Linked DNA regions of Ovis aries. The protein of the gene in region 2 purifies or fractionates together with the protein of the main gene of each other region. This does not show direct contact. Links are inferred from orthologs where the notes say so. Each region holds a gene or a part of one and is shown on either strand. Other genes may lie near its edges. The genes, in order: SNRNP70 and GEMIN5.

Region 1 (8,384 bases), on a different chromosome or scaffold from region 2:
GTGACACACGGGATCTTCCATCTTCCTTGCGGCATGTGAAGTCTTAGTTGCTGTATGTGGGACCTAGTTCCCTGAACAGGGATCCATCAAATCCAGGCCCCGTGCATTGGGAGCTAAGAGTCTTAGCTGCAGGACCACCAGGGAAGTCCCTCTACCCAATCTTTTTACATCTTAAAATTTTTTTTTAAATTGAAGTACAGATCTACAGTGTTTCAGATGTACAGCAGTGATTCAGTTATACATGTATTCTTTTTCAGATTCTTTTCCATTATAGGTTATTACAAGATCTACTGAGTATAGTTCCCTGTGTTATATAAGTAGGTCCTTGTTGTTTTATATATAGTTGTGTGTATCTATTAATCTATTAATCCCCAACTCCTAATTTATCCCTCTCCTCCCTTTCCCTTTGGGTAACTGTAAATTTGTTTTCTGTGTCTGTGAGTCTGTTTCTGTTCTGCAAATAAGTTCATTTGTATCAGGGCTTCCCAGGTGGGGCTGGTGGTAAAGAACGTGCCTGCCAATCCAGGAGGCATAAGAGACAGGTTCGACTCCTGGGTTGAGAAGATGCCCCGGAGGAGGCCATGGCAACGCACTCCAGTATTCTTGCCCAGAGAATCCCTATGGACAGAGGCGCCCGGACCTGAAGCGACTTAGCACGCACAAAGCATGCGTCATTTGTATCATTTTTTTTAAAGATTTCACATATAAACAGTGTCATATTTGTCTTTCTCCTTTCGACTTCACTTAGTGTGATAATCTCTAGGTCCATCCATGTTGCTACAAATGGCATTTCATTATTTTCATGGTTGAGTAATATTCCATGGTATATAGAGGCCACATCTTCCTCATCCATTCCTCTGTCGATGGACATTTAAGTCGCTTCCATATCTTGGCTATTATGCTATCTTTTTTGTTTTTTGGCTACTCCATGTGGCATTTGGGATTCCCTGGTAGCTCAGCTGGTAAAGAATCCACCTGCAATGCAGGAGACCCAAGTTTGATCCCTGGATTGGGAAGATCCCCTGGAGAAGAGAATGGCGACCCACTCCAATATTCTGGCCAGGAAAGTTCCACGGACTGTATCGACCCTGGGGTCACAAAGAGTTGGACACAACTCTCCCTTCACTCACGTGGCATGCAGGTCTCTTTGGACCTGCGCCTCCTGCAGTGGAAGTATGGCGTCCTAACCACTGGACTGCCAGGGAATGCCCCTTGCTATCGTAAACAGTCCTACGTACATTGGGATGCATGTCTTTTCAGGTTATTTTTTCTGGACATATATGCCCAGGAGTGGGATGGTGAGTTATTTTTAAAAGTGTTTTTAAAGGAACTGCCATACTGTTCTCCATAGTGGTTATACCAATTTACATTCCCACCAGTGGTGCGGGAGGGTTCCCTTTATCCACACCCTCTCCAGCACTTATTTGTAGACTTTGGGTGATGGCCATTCTGTCTGCTGTGAGGTGATCATGTGGTTTTAATTTGCATTTCCCTAATAATTAGCAATACTGAACATCTTTTCACATGCCTGTTGGCCGTCTGTACATCATCTTTGGAGAAACGCCTGTTTCGATCTTCTGCCCATTTTTGGCTGGGTTGTTTGTATTTTATATATTAAGCAATATGAGCTGTTTGTATTTGAAAATATTTTCTCCCATTCTGTAGGCTGTCTTTTCATTTTATTGATTCCTTTGCTGTTCAAATGCTTTTAACTAGGTCTCATTTATTTTTGCTTCTATTTCCATTACTCTAGGAGTTGGTTCCAAAAAAGTATTGCTGTGGTTTATGTCAGAGTGTGTTCTATGTTTTCCTCTAGTTTTATTTATAATACCTGGTCTTACATTTAAGTCAGCAATCCATTTTTTTAAATCTTTATTTCTGCTGCACTGGGTCTTTCTTGCTGCACGCGGGCTTTCTTTAGCCGTGGCAAGCGGGGTTCCTCTCTAGTTGCAGCATGCAGCCTTCTCATTGCAGTGGTTTCTTATTGTGGCACCTGGGCTTAGCAGCTCCTTGGCATGTGGGATATTCCCACACCAGGGGTCAAACCCATGTCCCCTGCATTGGCAGGCAGATTCTTAACCACGGGACCACCAGGGAAGCCCTAATCCATCTTATTTTTGTATATGGCCATTAAGAAAATGTTTTTTTCTTTTACATGTAGCTGCTGTCCAGTTGTCCCAATACCACTTATAGGCAAGCCTGTCTCTTCTCTTTACCTGTTTATCTCGCTCTCACGCTTCGTGAAAACACGGCCCAGAGCCCCATCCCCACACTAAGATAGGAGTATGAACAGCTCCACAAGAAATGTGTGGGAGCACCGAAAAAAAGCAAGGCATCAAGGACCCTTAAGGAGGTCTTCCTTACTCTCAACAGCTTGGCTATCCGGGACTAGCCCTAGCCTTTAGTTCATACAGCTCCTGTCCTGGAACACCAGAGTGGGGCCATCTAAGTCAGAAGGTGACACCCTCCTGGGGAAGACAGTAAGAGCAGTGAAGAAACCAAGCGCCCATTATCAACAAGAAATTTTATTTTTAAATCCAAGAGACCAAAACAAATAAGGAGACTCCTACCCTTGGCTGGCAGATTCAGGTGGTGACCAGGAAGGTGGGGGAGAGGATGACAGCAGGGGGAGTAGGAACACGTCCAAGCGGCCGGCGAGCGGCCTCTTCACTCCGGCGCAGCCTCCATCAAATACCCGTTCTCCGGAGCGAGATACCCGTCGCCTCCCTCGGACTCCATGTACATGTCTCGGCCGTCGTTGCCCAGACCCTCGAGCCCGTTGTCCTGGCCGCCGCCACCCCCACCTCGGGCCTCATCCCTGCCCCGATCGCCGCCCCGCTCCCCCCGCTTGTGCTCCCGGTCCCGGTCGCGATCGCGGTCCCGGCGCCGCTCCCGCTCGCTGCGGTGGCTTCGACGTCGGTCCCGGTCACGATCCCGGCCCTTCTCCTCTGGGCCATCCGGGCCGTCCGGACCCAGCTCCCCGGGGGGCCCATCATCCGGGGGCGCGTCGCCGGCCTCGGAGGGCTCGGCCATGTCGCCGCCGCCGCCTCCGCCTCCGCCTCCGCGCAGCTCCTCCTTGCGCTCCCGCTCCCGCCGCGCCCGCTCCCGGCTCCGGCTGCTGCGCCGCTTGCGGTCCCGGTCCTTGTCCTTGCTCCGCTCCCTGGAGCGCCGCCGCTCCTCCTTGTCGCGACTCCGAGAGCGCCGCCGCCGGTCCCGAGAGCGGGAGCGTCGTCGTTCCCGCTCCTTGTCTCTCTCGCGGCTTCGCTCCCGGCGCTCCCGCTCGCGGTCCCGGTCCCGGTCCCTGTGGGGCAGCGGGGAGGGGCCGGGCCTGGATGAGGTGGGCAGAGGTTTGCGGCAGGGCTCCCCCACTCACCGCCCCGCTCCCAGGACACCCGGCCCGGCCTCACCTCTCATCGTAGCGGGAGGTGTCGTCCCGGCCTGAGTGCCGGATGTTGACGTCCGCCCCGCCTCTCCGGGTGCCGCCCAGGCCGCCTCCTGGGGAGGGGCAGACACAGGCGGGTCAGAGCGGGTGGGGACCCCGAGACGGCGGGCAGTGCAGAGATCAGAAGGTCACAGCGCCAGCTGGACGCGCCCTCATAGGGCTCCGGGCTCACCTCCCCCACCGGGGAGGCCCCAGCCCCTGACAGACCCTCTCCTCCGGTCATTCCCGCCCGAGACACAGCCCCGATCCTTCTAACTGAAGCCTGACCCGCCTCAAAGCCGGCAGTGGCTGCCCACCGCCCAAGCCAAGGTCAGAGGCCGGCCTCCTCCCTGTCTTTCAGCCCAAGGGCCCCTGGCTCTAAAGGTTCCAGGCATTTTCCAACCTCTTCATGGTCTCCATGTCCTTCCTGCCCAGTGTTGGGGATCATTCACCCGTTCCCCTGGAGTCTCACCTTCCTTTCTACTTAACTCCCACTTACCCTCCGCACCTTAACCCACACCTCACTTCCTCACTCCGCCTGCCCTGACCTACCAGCTGAGGCCCTTCTCCACTCACAGACCACACACTGGCTTCAGAACTTCAGTGGAGTTTCCGATTTCACGTGTGTGTCTCAGGTGGAGTTTCCAATTTCGTCTATGTGTGTGTACACGCACGTTCAAGAGAGAGCTGATTAACAGCTGCCTCCCTCTCTAGCCTGTACTGCGCCTTCCATCAGGACGCTGGACCAGCAGCCACGATAAAAAGCTGGACGAGCAAATGGCGACAAGGACAACTGGAAGCAGCAGCAGTTACCCTCCTCCTTCACGTGGGAAACAAACGCAGGCTGAAAAGCCACCTGCCCAGGGTGACTCGGCAAGAAAGGGCAGAGCAGAGACGTGATTCCCCGCTAACTCCAGAAGCTGCCCTCTCACTCAGTCTTCTGCCCCCACTGCCTGGAAGGGAGTTTCCTGAAGCTATTTAAGGAATAGCTTTCAGCAATGAGGGTCAAAAGCTTGGACATGGACATGAAACATCCGAACAGAGGACAAGCCACCCAGCAAGGATGCGGAGAAACAGACCAGTGCTTTCCATGTTCAGATCACAACCCAGCAGTGGAGTCACATCACTAAATCTGACAGGATGCAACCAACCATTTCTTTAAAAGAAAGAAACAGAACATAAAACACTAGTATATATACTGCCCGTAGAAAAGATAAACTACTGTTTCATCAAACTTTTGTTTGGGTTAAATGTATTTTTTTTGCATGTACACTGGGTCAAAATGCACTGGCTATCACCATCAGAAAGTTGGAATGCCAATCAAACTAGAAGATTCTGAGATTCCAGGATTCTACAATGGGCAAGAGCAGACTCTGAAGGACTCACTCCAACCCAAAGAAACCAGAGAGGGAGAGGAGAACTTATCTATTGAGTTGACACTCGGCAGATACATGTGTGATTTACTCAGTAAAGGCAAGTCAAGCATAAGAACAGCAGGCTGGGGGCAGAAATAAGGTCAGAGGGTACTGGACCTGCCTAGGGTGTCTGCATAGCGAAGACTATTTTCTCTGACAATTGGGTCACTCCCCCTCACTGGAGTTGGTCCTCGACAGCCAAGTCTGGATGGCACAACCTCAGCCCCAGGTCCAGGCCCAACGCTGAGCCACTTAGATCCACCCACCCAGAAGCGCAGACTCATCCAAGACTGCGTTGTGGAATACCACACTGGCTCCGTGGGGAGAGAGCCAGAAGGGACCAACTCACAGACAGCAAGCAAACAAGGCAGAAGGCACAGAGCTGCCAGAGGCAGCTCTGGATGCTGCAGGCTCAGCCGCCAGGGCCTCAAGGCCCACAGACCTCCCCCATCTTTGGGCTCCAAGCCACTGGGGTTTCTACACCAACAAGGCCCCAAGACACCGGGATTCTATACCAACAGACCCCTTTATACTGTTTTCTGGTACTTGCTACCAACCTGACCTTGACTGAGACGGTAACTGACAATAAGAGATGACAGTGAGAGGGACTGAAGCTTTGAGGGCAGCGGCCAACCATGTATGTCTCACCCTTGACTAGAAGCCTGCTACGCAGCTGGTGATCACACCAGTGTTTACTCAGTAATCAATGAACGAACAGGCCGGATGAGCAGGAGCAAAGTCTAAGCGGATGCCAGAACGACTTTTCAAGCCCCACTGTACACCATTTGCCAGGCTGTGTATCTGAGACACTGAACTCAGTGAGCTCTTGAGATTATTCCCACTTTCTAGGATGAGGAAAATGAGTCAGAAAAGGGGAGAAATCCACCTGCCAGGTATGCGCAAGTCAGAATTTGATCCCAGACTGGCTTCTCCAGGTCAGTACTCTTGCTCCTAATTGGTAACCCAGAATAAAAAACAAAAACAGACCAAGAGAATGCTGGAGACCGAGAGGCTGAGCTGGAGAGAGGGAGGAATGTGAGCAGCTGCATGGGGAAGAGAAGACAGAAAGCAGCAGGGGGGGGGAAGAGAAGGGAGAGGGAGCCAGCAGGACCCCGAGCCCAGCCAGAGCAGGGCACGCTCACCTAGCCGCCGGGGCCTCCAGCCCTTCACGGTGCGGCCCCTCTCCACGTCCACGAGCACTCTCCTGCCGTCAATCTTCTTGCCGTCTGCATGCTTGTAAGCGGCTGCAACAGATGTGGGGAAGGGGAGGGGGAGGAGTCCCCAGAGGATCCTCTAGTCAGGTGACGGCCCCACTCTGTGGCATCCCGACCCGCCACACCCGCCATGTCCCCGTCAGCACACTTCGGCGCACACACGCACGCACACACACAGGCCCACCAGACAGCCAGGCAACTGACAGCCAGACAACCTTCTCCCAACCCGGGAGGGGCCTGCTCCATCTCACCACCTGCCTCATCACCCCCAAACACTCTTGGGGGGCCGGCCCACTCCCAACCACTATGCTCACCCTAACCACTGCCCTGGGCTCCCAGGCCAGGCCTACTCCCCTTTGACAGAGCAGCCCCCTCCCACCAAGGCGGCCAAAGTCGCTGCAAAGAAACTGGAGGTTAACTTAAGGCTGGACTCTGCAGTGGGGGAGGGCTCCTCCACAACCCCAGGCATGCACCCTAAAACGTCATGCTGGGAGCAGAGGCCCGGCTGGCCGCTCCGCACCCCAGTTCACACCGGTTTCCTTTTACTGTGGTTTTTGTTGGGGGAGGGTGAGCATGGGGGAAACAGACATCAGAACAGAAAATGAACCAGAAGGGGGCAGGAGAAATCTTTAGGAGATGGCAGGGAGTAGAGGGTGGGTTATGGGGGCCCCCTACAGCAGGTGGGGCAGAGGGAAGTGGAGGGAGGCATGGGAGTCGTGCGGTGCTACTGAAAATCCCTGCCTTACCTGCCGAGACTATACCCACCCAGCCCCCAGCCCAGCTCTCCCTCCACACCCCAGTGCAACACGCGCCGGGAAGGGCCGAGCCCGACCTGAGCCTCAGGAAGGGTGCGGAGTAAGGGGGGAGAGGCGGGGAGGAGCGCGTCCTGCGGGTGGGCAGGACACAGCCAAGGACAGGCCCAAGCCCGGGGCTGCCTCACACGGGGCTCTCGGGAGGCCAAAAACGTCCCTGTTTCCCAACCCCCAGCCCTGGCGGAGGGGGTCATCCTCAACCAGCCACAACACCCGGCCCCGCCCCAGCCCGCTCCCCCCCCAAATAACAACCAGAGGAAGAGAAAAAGGTGCCATTTACCGATGCCAGCCTTGCGGGTGTCCAAACCGAGCGGGATGGGGGGGGCTCGGCAACTCCTGGGGGCCTGGCGAGGAGGCGGGCTTCCCGGGGGGGGACACGGGACCGCTTACCTGGAGCCCCCAAGCTTACCTGAGCACGCGCACAGACCCCACACCCACCACCATGGGGTCAGCTAAAGCTACGGGGGAGGGAGCCAGGGGGTTCTAGGGAGCCCCCGGAGGGGCGAGGAACCACATCTCCTGTACCGCCTGGAGGCAGGCAGAGGAAGTGGTGGACCCCAAAGAAACCTCATGGAGGCCTTGAAGAGGAGGGAGACAGGGTTAACATAGAGCTTGGGAACTTGAAAGGACTATCTTGTTTGAATTCTACAAAGCGGCTAGGGAGGCCTTAGCAAACCTGTCCACCTTCAGCTTTTCCCCATAAAATCCACGCTCAGCTAGGCACAGGCCCCACCCCCTCAGCACATGGAATGACTTTTCCACCTTGAACTTCTCACTCCCTCCCACCATCTGCTTCAGCCCAAAGGCTGGCACACAAGGGGACAGCTTCGGGGGTCCAGGAGATGGGAGTACTGCCCATGATCCACGGGGAAGGGGCCGCTGGGCCCCTGAACCCAGAGGAGCGTAGTGGGGGCGGGATTTCAGGACTGGGGACACAGTCAAGCAAAGGACCCCTGCTCTGGTCATGTCCCAAACCCCAGAAGAGGCCCAACCCGGGAAGAACAGCAGAGAAAAATGTGACGTGTGTATCTCTAGGCTTCGCTCGCTCTCCCTCTCTTAGGTCTCCAGCCAGTGGAAGGGTTTTCAGTAAAAGCTCCAGCACCTTCAGCTGTTCACAGCCTGTCGCTCGACCCCTCCCACAGCAATCCCCAAGTCCATGCACTCTGGAGAGCAGCTGGGCTCCACAGCCTCTCGGGAGGCTCCACTGTGACAAGGCAGACAAGACATGAGCAGAGCACCCCGAGTCTAGCAACCAAAAAGACTCTCCAGGGCCACCACAGTGAGGGCCCGCAGAAGGGGCAGGGGCAGGGGCCAGGAGAGGAGGAAGGGCTGAAGGGTTCCACCAGGAGCCCTGGCCCTGCTGCGTTCCCACCGCCGTGCCGTGGCCGTTGGGAAGCCAGATATGCTGGGGGTTAAACCGAGGCCAACTGGAGTGGCCGGCTGCCTTTCCCATCGGGGAGCATCTCTCCCCTCCTGGGATCAGCAAGATTGTCAGAGAGCACCTGGATGGGGCCAGAAGGGA
Region 2 (9,418 bases):
ACATCCAAAAAACCACTTATGTGCCAGTTCCCAGAAGACTATGGATGGGCCAGGGAAGTTTATTTCTATACCTTTGGAATGTTTGGCAGTGGCTAATACCAAACAGTCCTGATGAAGCTCCTCTTTGGATCTGTGGTCCAGACTTGTACTCAGTGGAAGCATGGAACGAGCTTTTCGCTTCTTGATTAAGGCTTCTGAAATGTAATACAAGTACAGACCATCTGAAGAATTGATTACAAACCCCAAACTGAATGCATGTCCGCTGTGTATGCAAGCTACTGGAGGAATACTGCTGAGCAGAGAACGTTCCCACTCTTAGAAGGAAGCTGTCAAATTAAATTATTAGCAGCTGGGGGTAGTGTTTTCAACACACAGAGAGTCCCTGTGAAGGCTCTGAACCAACATCAACAACTACAAAATGACAGTTCTTCCAAGTACTAAAAAAATGACCCCAAATCAAAACACAAATATTTAAAACCTAAAATAAAACCAAAAAACCATACTCTGTTGAGTTTTCATTTGCATGTAATGAGGATGCTTTAACAAATTATTTTAGTTATTAGATACCAACCTGGCTTCTCTTTAGGTACGTCCTTTTTCAGTAAAGTGACTTTGTTATTAATGGTGCTTTTTGACTTTTCAAAACCTAAGGCTGCTGGAGTGCAGATAATTGGTTCTTTAGAAACTACATCATGGGGAGAAAGAAAAAAGTTTGGATGAGAACAATGTAGAATCTAGTTCTTTTTAAAAATTAAGAGCTATCCCAGTCTTTACAGTGTGATTTTATCTATTACTCCAAATATTAAGATGAAATATTTCAGACAGGAAGCATGGGTAGTCAGTCTCCCTTTCCCCACCTCTCAAACTGCCTTCCAGGAATCTGTAGATTTATCACCTAGAACTCTGACTAACTGATCTAAGGAAAATTATAAAGATTCTAGCCACCACAACTTTAAAAACGTGCCCTTACTTGTAAGGTTCTATGTATACGCTGCCCCAGCTTCACTTTGTCCCACAGTCTTACCCTGCCCAGGTTGGTAAGTTTTCTCTAGAGAACTTTACTATTTCCATCCCAATCATCCATTAGATTCCCTTAACACTTCAAAGGTAGACCTGACTTAGTTCCTGGTCAGGACTGTTAAGTGCTAGAGAGTGAAACACGAGATTCGGCTACATGCCTGCCGAGGTGACACCACAGGGTGGCTCTGGCTCGCGGGCTTCCTCCTCTGTCTCCTGGTCTGACACGCCATTCTCAACAGGGCCCAGGCTCTCCTTTACACTCTCTTCTTCATTCCCGTCACATAATTCTTGCTTTACAGGCACTCTCAAGGTGGGCTTTTTCTTCTTTTTGGGCTTTGGCTTAGGTTGAGAGAGCCGCTTTTTCTCTAATTCAATACTTTTCTTGCCTATAGAAATCACAGTTCAGAAAAGGATAGATACCTTATTGCTCTTCTTTTTGATAACATTCTTACCTTTTCCCCACCTTCCCAATGAAGTCTTAGTTATATTATCAAAATGTTAACCAAACCAAACCCTTTTCAGATTTCATTAAATCATAAACACAATGCCCATTTACCCCTGAATACTTTAGTGTATATCCTACAAAGAAGGATATTCTCCTACATCATCACAGCACAACCATTAATATCAGGAAATTAACACTGATAGATTATTCATTCCCATTTCATTCAAGTTCTACCAGTTACACCAGAAGTGTCCTTTATAGCAAAAGGAAATCACTCCAGGACTACAGGTTGCACTGGCTTGTTACATCTCTAGTTTCCTTCAGCCTAGAACAGGCTCAGGTTTTATTTTGACTTTCATGACTAGAAACTCATGAAGATCACAGGATATTTTGTCTGATTTCCCTCACATTGGGTCTGCCTTATCTTTTGCATGATTAGATTTAGGTTATATACTTTGAGCTGCAATACAAACCAGTGAGGCTGTGTTTATCCTGGTGCAGCCTGGGAGGTAGCACATAATTTCTATTTGTCTCATTATTTGTGGTTCACTTTGATTACTTGGTGTGCTTCCCTTGTAGCTCAGTTGGTAAAGAATCTGCCTGCAGTGCAGGAGACTTAGGTTTGATCCCTGGGTCGGGAAGATCCCCTGGAGAAGGAAATGACAATCCGCTCCAGTATCCTTGTCTGGAAAAGTTCATGGACATAGGAGCCTGGTGGGCTGCAGTGCATGGGGTTGCAAAGAGTCAGGCATGACTGAGCGACTAATACTTACTTACTTGTTACTTGAATAAGGAGGGCGGTACCTTGCAGGTTTGTCCCCACTAGTTTTACTAAAAATTGTTACTATGATTATGGCCAAAGGGCAATTTTCGGTTCCATTGTTCAGTCTACACTTACTAGGTGGCCTTCTGCTGAAAAGAACTTTTGCTTCTGTCTATTTATTTAGACTGTTACTTTATAGTGGTCAGTATGGACTCAAGAATTCCTATTTAATGTTTTAATCCTTTACTATTACTTATTTACTTTTTCAGTTTGAAAGCTTTTATCTTTTGATTTCAAGTCATCTTACTGAGATATAATTTAACACAAGAAAAAATACCAGATTTTTTAATGTTTTTATGAGTTTAGACAGCTGTATAGGTAACCCACCACCACAAATAAACTGTTGCCATTATTTCAAAATGTTCCCTCATGCCTCTTTGTGTAGATTCCCCTCCTCCCTGAGCCCCAGGCAGTCACTGATTTGCTATCACTGTAGTTTAGTTTTGTCTGTTTTAGAAATTCGTATGATTTACAACTACATTTCATACTCTATATTAGTACTATACAGTGTTTAGTCTTTTGTGCCAGGCTTACTTTGCTAGGCATAATCTTTGAGATTCACCCATTTTGTTGTATTTATAAGTAGCTACTTGCTTTTTATTGCTGAATAGTTCCACTGTAGGATATATACCACAGTTTATTTACCAGCTGACATTTGTGTTGTTTCTGATTGTGGCAGTTACAGATTAGGTATAAGGATTCTTTTATAAGTCTTTATGTGGATGCATCGTTTCATTTCTTGAGTACATTTCTAGTTGTTTATATACCCTGTTTAGTTTTCTAGCTATTTCTGGTGGGTGGGAAAATCTGGTTCCAGTTAGTCTCTTATAGCCAGAAGTGAAATTCTGTTAATTATTTTCAAGTTCAGATTATCTCACATTTGGGTAGCCAGCCCCTTCAAGCTGGCTTCTTTGTCCTTTTGATGACCTCAGTTATACCTTTGTGGCAAATGATGCTGCAGACTTATCTTAGATTTTTTCCGCCTAACCTGGAACTAGCCATTTCTCCAAGAAGCCCTGGTAGGTTCCTTTTTAGAGATTGAGATTTAGAAAACAAGATCTGGGTGCTAGGAATACTTGCTACTATTCAGGTGTTGTCTTCAGACCTCTTCGGGCTACTGTCCTTGCCCAGGCTTCCATTCCCACCATACTGCTCTATTGCCCACCATGAATGTCCTCCTTGCATGACTGACAGCTTACTGAGGAAAGGAAAAAGGGAATGAGGCAAGCCCTTATAGGCTCCAGGTTCTGACTGACCTTGCGGAGGTCGGGAGTGTTCCTGCATGGAAGTGAGCCATTTGTACACACAGAAATCATCTGCCCCTGAGTAGATGCAATCTGGATCCAATGGGGACCATGCAACGCAAAGCAATCGACCTCGATGTCCTCGGAAATTGCATAGAGGCTCTTCCTGGAGAGTATCCCACACCTAAAACCAAAAGTCGCACATGAGAATAGATAATTTTTGGTTATTCTATTGTCTGAGGAGGTGTTGGTATACATTTTTGAAAAAAAAAAAAAAAATCTGTGTACTCTTATTTCCTCTTGTAATTTGTACTTGCAGTTTCAGAAAGTGCTATTTCCTAACGGAGGTTTCTGTATTCTGGGATATAGAGTTCCCATAGGAATGATTTGGAGTAAGCTTTTAATGATGCCCTGTGGATTTCACTGTCTTGAACCAGTACTGCATGTTATCTTTGGGCTGGGGATTCCGATACCTCTAATTCAGAGCCCACATCTACATGTGTGATGCAAGGGTTCTAGTTTCTCACAGATGATTCTTCTACCTCAGGGCAAATGATCAATTTCCTTGCTATTTCCTGAATGATTCCAGTCTCCATCTCAAAGGGCAGCCAGTCACGGCTCTCAGCTCTGTGCAGACAGCTCATTTACCACTCAGTACTGAGACAGACATCCATCACTGATGATGGATCCCCAGTTCCTGAGGTCTGTTCTGGTTCTGATATCCGAAACTCACTTCACAGCTCTGGCTTGGCATCTCATCTTTATTTTTGAGAACTTGAAGATGTAAGCTACCGAGTTATTATTAGAAGTATTTTTTTTCATGATTTATAGTCACCCTTCTGTGACAGAACAGAATGGGAGGAGTACTTTTCACATCAACTTTAGTCTATCATACTGACAGGAGGTCAAAGTGAAATCTTTAAAAACATCAGTTTAGCTAGTTCCTATCAATATTCTCTTTCACCTAAGTTACAAAAAAACCCAAATTTACCCTGACAAGGGCCCAGATATGTTTAATAAAATGCCCTCTAGGACATGGGTTTGGGTGGACTCCGGGAGTTGGTGATGGACAGGGAGGCCTGGTGTGCTGCAGTTCATGGGGTCGCAAAGACTTGGACACCACCAAGCAACTGAACCGAACTGAACTGAGAGCTCAGAAAAATCACAGGGGAGAAGAAGAAAGAGTTTCAGTTAGAGTATATAGTGAAGAACCCACAGAATCAGGGATGCAATAGTACCTGAGCTGTACCGTCGTAGGAGGCGGATACCAGCCTTCCATCATGGTGTGGGCTCCATGCCAGACTGGTGATCTTGGCTGTGTGCCCTGACAGGGTCCGGTAGGGCTCTGTAATGGTCACTGGAGATTCAGGATTGCTCTCTAAAAGACAGGGGATGATGGCATTGGTACCAATAACAACAACAGAAAGACATAAAGGAGGGTTTTAATTAGCATGGCAAGTCAAGATGTTGCCACATGCTTTCTACGTGATTTTCACTGGGCAGCACTGTCTAGTGGTTAAGAGTGTAGGCATATCCACTGTGGCATATCCATGGGCTTACTGTAGGAAGTGATAGCTCTCATTCTTTCTTTCTAAAAGCCAGCAAAATGGAAGTAATGCCTTTAGGATGTGATACCAAGAAGGATGTATTATCATGTATAGTTAAAAATGTGTGACCTGAATCTAGTCATAAGAATATATGAGACCAAACTGAGGACGCATCTACCACATAACCAGCTGGTATTAAAAAAAAAAAAAATCAAGATGAAAAAACAAAAAAGGCTGAGAGATATAAAGGACAATATTGAATCAACTGACAACACTAGAATAAGCATGGTAGATTAAACTATTATAATGGAATTGTGGTTATATAAAGGAATATCATTATTCTTACAAAATACACAAACACTTTGGAAAATACATACACCACAGCACAAAGCAAATATGACAAAAGGTTATAAGTTGTTGAATCTGTGAAAAGGTATATGGTAGTCCTTCATACTGTTTTTGCAACTTTCCTCTAAGTGTGAATTATTTAAATATAAGAAGATAAAAATGAAGTTTTTCCTGGTCATTGTTTCCCTTTTTGTGTTATTCAGTAGATTTGAAATAAAAAACAAACCAGGATGATAGTATTTCAGTAGACAAAGATCTGCACTGCTTTTAAGAATTAAGTTAATGCTCTCCTGTAAGTGATGCTGGAAAAACTGGACAGCTACCTGTGAAAGAACGAGATTAAAACATTTTTTCACACCTTATAAAGAAATAAACTCACAATGGATTAAAGACTTAAATGTAAAACTGGAAACCTTAGAACTCTTAGAAAGGAACTCTCTGACATAAATGATACCAGTATTACTTTGGATTTGTCTCTTCAGGCAAAACAAACAAAAGCATATTAAAAAACAAAAATTATAGCTCTTGGCAATGAAGATGGGTTATGTGTTTTTTTTTTCTTCATATTAAGAAAAAAAGTAATTATCTTCTTTCACATTAAAAAAGGCTCTTCTGACCACTTAACTTCTTCTAGGTGCTGAGGAAGTTCAGAGAAGTTTAAGCCTTGTAAGGAATAAGTTGTATGAAAATATGAAAAAGATCAACCTGCTAGGCAGGGACTAGTAGTTACCAGAACACATGCAGATGCTGCAGTTAGACAGTGTGGGAATGAATCTGGGCTCTATCATGTATGAGCTGTGGGACGCATGGAAGTGAGCTAACCCCTCTGAGCCTCAATTAGGAAAATGAAGATAACAAAACCTACCTCCCAGGAGTGTAAGAATTAGATGCAGTCATGCATGGGATGGGATGTGTGTTGTACGTGTCAAATACTCAAACACTGAAGGAAGGGAATATACATTGGCACCATCTTTTGGAGAGTGACTTGGCAATAACTATACTTTAGAAAATTTGGAGGAAACAGCAATGTTTATTAATGAGGGATGGGAATAAGGGAGGTACTTCACTTTCTAAGTTAACATGTATTGTCATGTTTGAAATTTTTGTTGTGTTTTAAATAAGGTGAATACATTACTTTTGAAAGCAGAAAAATAGTAAGAGTAGTGTTTAATACCAAAGAAAAAGGAAAATGTACGAAGATTGGAACAAAAAGTAGCTGAACACATATACCACCCCCAGTATGGAAAGAAACCAAAGTTACCTATGACAGTCTGCAGGTTGTGCACATAAATGACTGCGTTGTTGGAGCCAGAGGCCATCAGATAGCTCAGTTCTGGCTGGCTGCCATGCTCATGATGCCAGCTAATGGTATTCACAAGCTTATGATGTTGCTGGATGGTGCAGATCAGTTTCAGGTTAGGAACCTTGAATATTTCTATTGATCTGGAATAAGAAACACCAAGATAAGAAAGGATGCTCAAATTACAGTTCAGTGCAAGCAGGTATCATCCTCATTCCATCAGTCAAAGAAAGGTGAAATGGAATAGGATAACCCAATCTTAACTGCAGAGGTTACTCTCTTACAAAAAATCAGGTACAAAAGGCAGTTCTTTCAGCAGCTTTAATAAATCCCAACAACCTCTGGAAAGTTGTATTTATCATGCTCTAAAAATAATAAATGGTACCAGGGAAAAACTAAAAGAAGAATTAATAAACCAATGGCTGAAACAGTACCATGTTACTATGATCAATACCGGAAAGGGCAAAACAAAACAAAACACCCTAAACAACCAAACCAAAACACTGGAAAGGATATAGTAAGAGCTAAAAAGCATTTCTGCTTTTTTTTTCTTTAAAAAGAATGAAAGGAGATTTAGGGAACTTAATTCTGGAGATAAGCATTCTTTGAAGCATACTACAACCAAAACAGAGTAGGCAAACATTCCCTTTGAGCTATAAATATTTAACTTATTTTGCAGTTCTCAATAATGCAGACAGCTCCTGAGTTATTTAAGGATATCAGGGATAAGTCAGAATATCAAATACAGCTAGGCTTTCCCAACTAACATTACAGATGGCACTAGCTTGTGATCAAATATATGTGCAATTACAAAGTTTTTTTTTTTTAAAAAAAACAAACACATACCCATCTTCATTGCCAAGAGCCATGATTTTGCCATCTGCTTTCCAGCTGATCTCTGTGTGTACAGGCAATTTGTACTAGAAAAGCAAAACAAACCAATCTCGACTGAAAACATTGTTCTTGCCACACAGCTTACAAATCAATGATGACAGTGTGAGGGGAAAAAACAAACAAACCTTGGTTTAAGAATGTTCTAATTACAACAGCCATTCTTATAAATAATCTACGTAATTTGCCAAAGAGTTACTAAGAACAACTATGCTAAATATGATTTCCTAACTGGGACAAAAGACAGGCCAGTGAGTATTAAATATTTGCAGTGTCTAACCTTGTGAAATGAACTTAATTAAAATGATTTTTATCCCACAGTAAGACATGAAACATGTCCACTGGCTTCGATAACACGGGGGCTGTCATCTTAAGAGAAGTCACATACGCCACCCTCTTTTCTTCCCATCTCTTCTGTTTCTTTTCCAGAATTTTATTTTTCTCTTCTTCTGTTTTTATTAGAGAACAGTTCCTTTGTTCCCCAAGGCTGCCTGGGCCCTCTTCTTTTCTTACTTGTCTCTCCACAGACCACCTCATACATGCCCACAGCTTCTTTAGTTACCGCTCATATAAAGGGACTCTAAATTTCCATTTCCAGCCCAAATTCCTTATGTGAACTTCTGATCTATATTATTTAAGTCTTACAAAACTAAAAGCTTGTTAGGAACAGGAATTTTGCCTCTTTTATTCACTGTTGAATGTTAAGATAACATTTAAAACATGAAGGAATATAGCCATTAAAAACAATTCAATTTATGATTAAATATTATTTTTATAACAAAAATAGCCATACAAAAATAATGAGCAAAAGTAAATAATGCTCATTTGAAAGAGTAAGGAAAACTCAACATTTATGGTTTCACTTAAAAAGACAGTTCTGGCATACAGATATATTGATATAATGGTAAAGAAAATGTGATTAAACGTGGAAATCTGGGTGAAGGATATAAGGAAATTATTTGCATTATTTTTGCAGCTTTTGTATAAATCTGTAATTATTTCACTAAAAAACCAAAATGATAATTCTGTTTTGAGCAAAATACCTCATAGCTGTACTTGGATAACATAGTATAAAGTAAGTTTTACAAACACCTCCCTCTGGAGAAAGTGGCAGGTGTGAAAAGGGTGCTTTATATTCAAGATCTGAAAGTTTATAATAAATAACCATTGCAACTGAGAGAAGCCTGAAATCTGACAGCATAATGGATACCTCACATAATGCCATTTATCATGCAAGATGAGAAGATAAAACAGAGAGATCATGAGAAGACTTCAAATCACAAGAACTTACTTTGATTGAGTTGGTGTCCCTGATGAGTTTGTTGATGTCAAAGGCCTCTCCACTAAGCTTCCAAGGGTTGTGCTGTAAGACAATCCCTTCTCCTCCACAACTGTATAAAGTGAGGGAAGGTCTGTCTCCTTCTCCTACATGGAATAAGAAAAGAAAGCTTATCAGTTTTGTACTTTACCAGCTTAACTGTTTGTTGCTTAATATGACCATGTTATACTATGACATGTTTTATCTTCTGCCACTCAAAACAGTAGGGGTGCCAAAGCTGGGATCAGAAGACATGTTCTCAAAGTTTTGGGGAATTTATCTTATCTTACAGAAATAAGTACTGTCTGGCATTTAAATATATGAAGCTGCAGGACTTCCTATGATTAAATGTAAGAAGCTATTCTCAAAGCAATTGGTGTTATAGTAACTTTCCTGTTTATTTTAGGAAGTAAACAGTGGTTCTGATGGGTTTTTGTAAGGACACATTTTATTTTCACTACTGTAGAACTGTTTGGCACAAA

What was found.
Region 1: the proteins of GEMIN5 (region 2) and SNRNP70 purify together in Homo sapiens (affinity purification with mass spectrometry; 4 studies listed by BioGRID and IntAct, counting the BioPlex papers as one, with this or other methods). This does not show direct contact. The link is inferred for Ovis aries from reciprocal best matches to the Homo sapiens genes GEMIN5 and SNRNP70.

The regions. Positions count from the first base shown.
Region 1 is NC_056067.1:55,353,561-55,361,944, reverse strand, and holds the end of SNRNP70 (U1 small nuclear ribonucleoprotein 70 kDa), read right to left. Parts: intron 6,081-8,384; coding exon 5,979-6,080; intron 3,496-5,978; coding exon 3,408-3,495; intron 3,329-3,407; coding exon 2,668-3,328; 3' UTR 2,510-2,667; downstream 1-2,509. UniProt on the Homo sapiens protein: Component of the spliceosomal U1 snRNP, which is essential for recognition of the pre-mRNA 5' splice-site and the subsequent assembly of the spliceosome. SNRNP70 binds to the loop I region of U1-snRNA.
Region 2 is NC_056058.1:63,861,223-63,870,640, forward strand, and holds part of GEMIN5 (gem-associated protein 5), read right to left. Parts: intron 9,044-9,418; coding exon 8,910-9,043; intron 7,648-8,909; coding exon 7,574-7,647; intron 6,871-7,573; coding exon 6,689-6,870; intron 4,911-6,688; coding exon 4,771-4,910; intron 3,717-4,770; coding exon 3,545-3,716; intron 1,407-3,544; coding exon 1,179-1,406; intron 686-1,178; coding exon 572-685; intron 195-571; coding exon 72-194; intron 1-71. UniProt on the Homo sapiens protein: The SMN complex catalyzes the assembly of small nuclear ribonucleoproteins (snRNPs), the building blocks of the spliceosome, and thereby plays an important role in the splicing of cellular pre-mRNAs.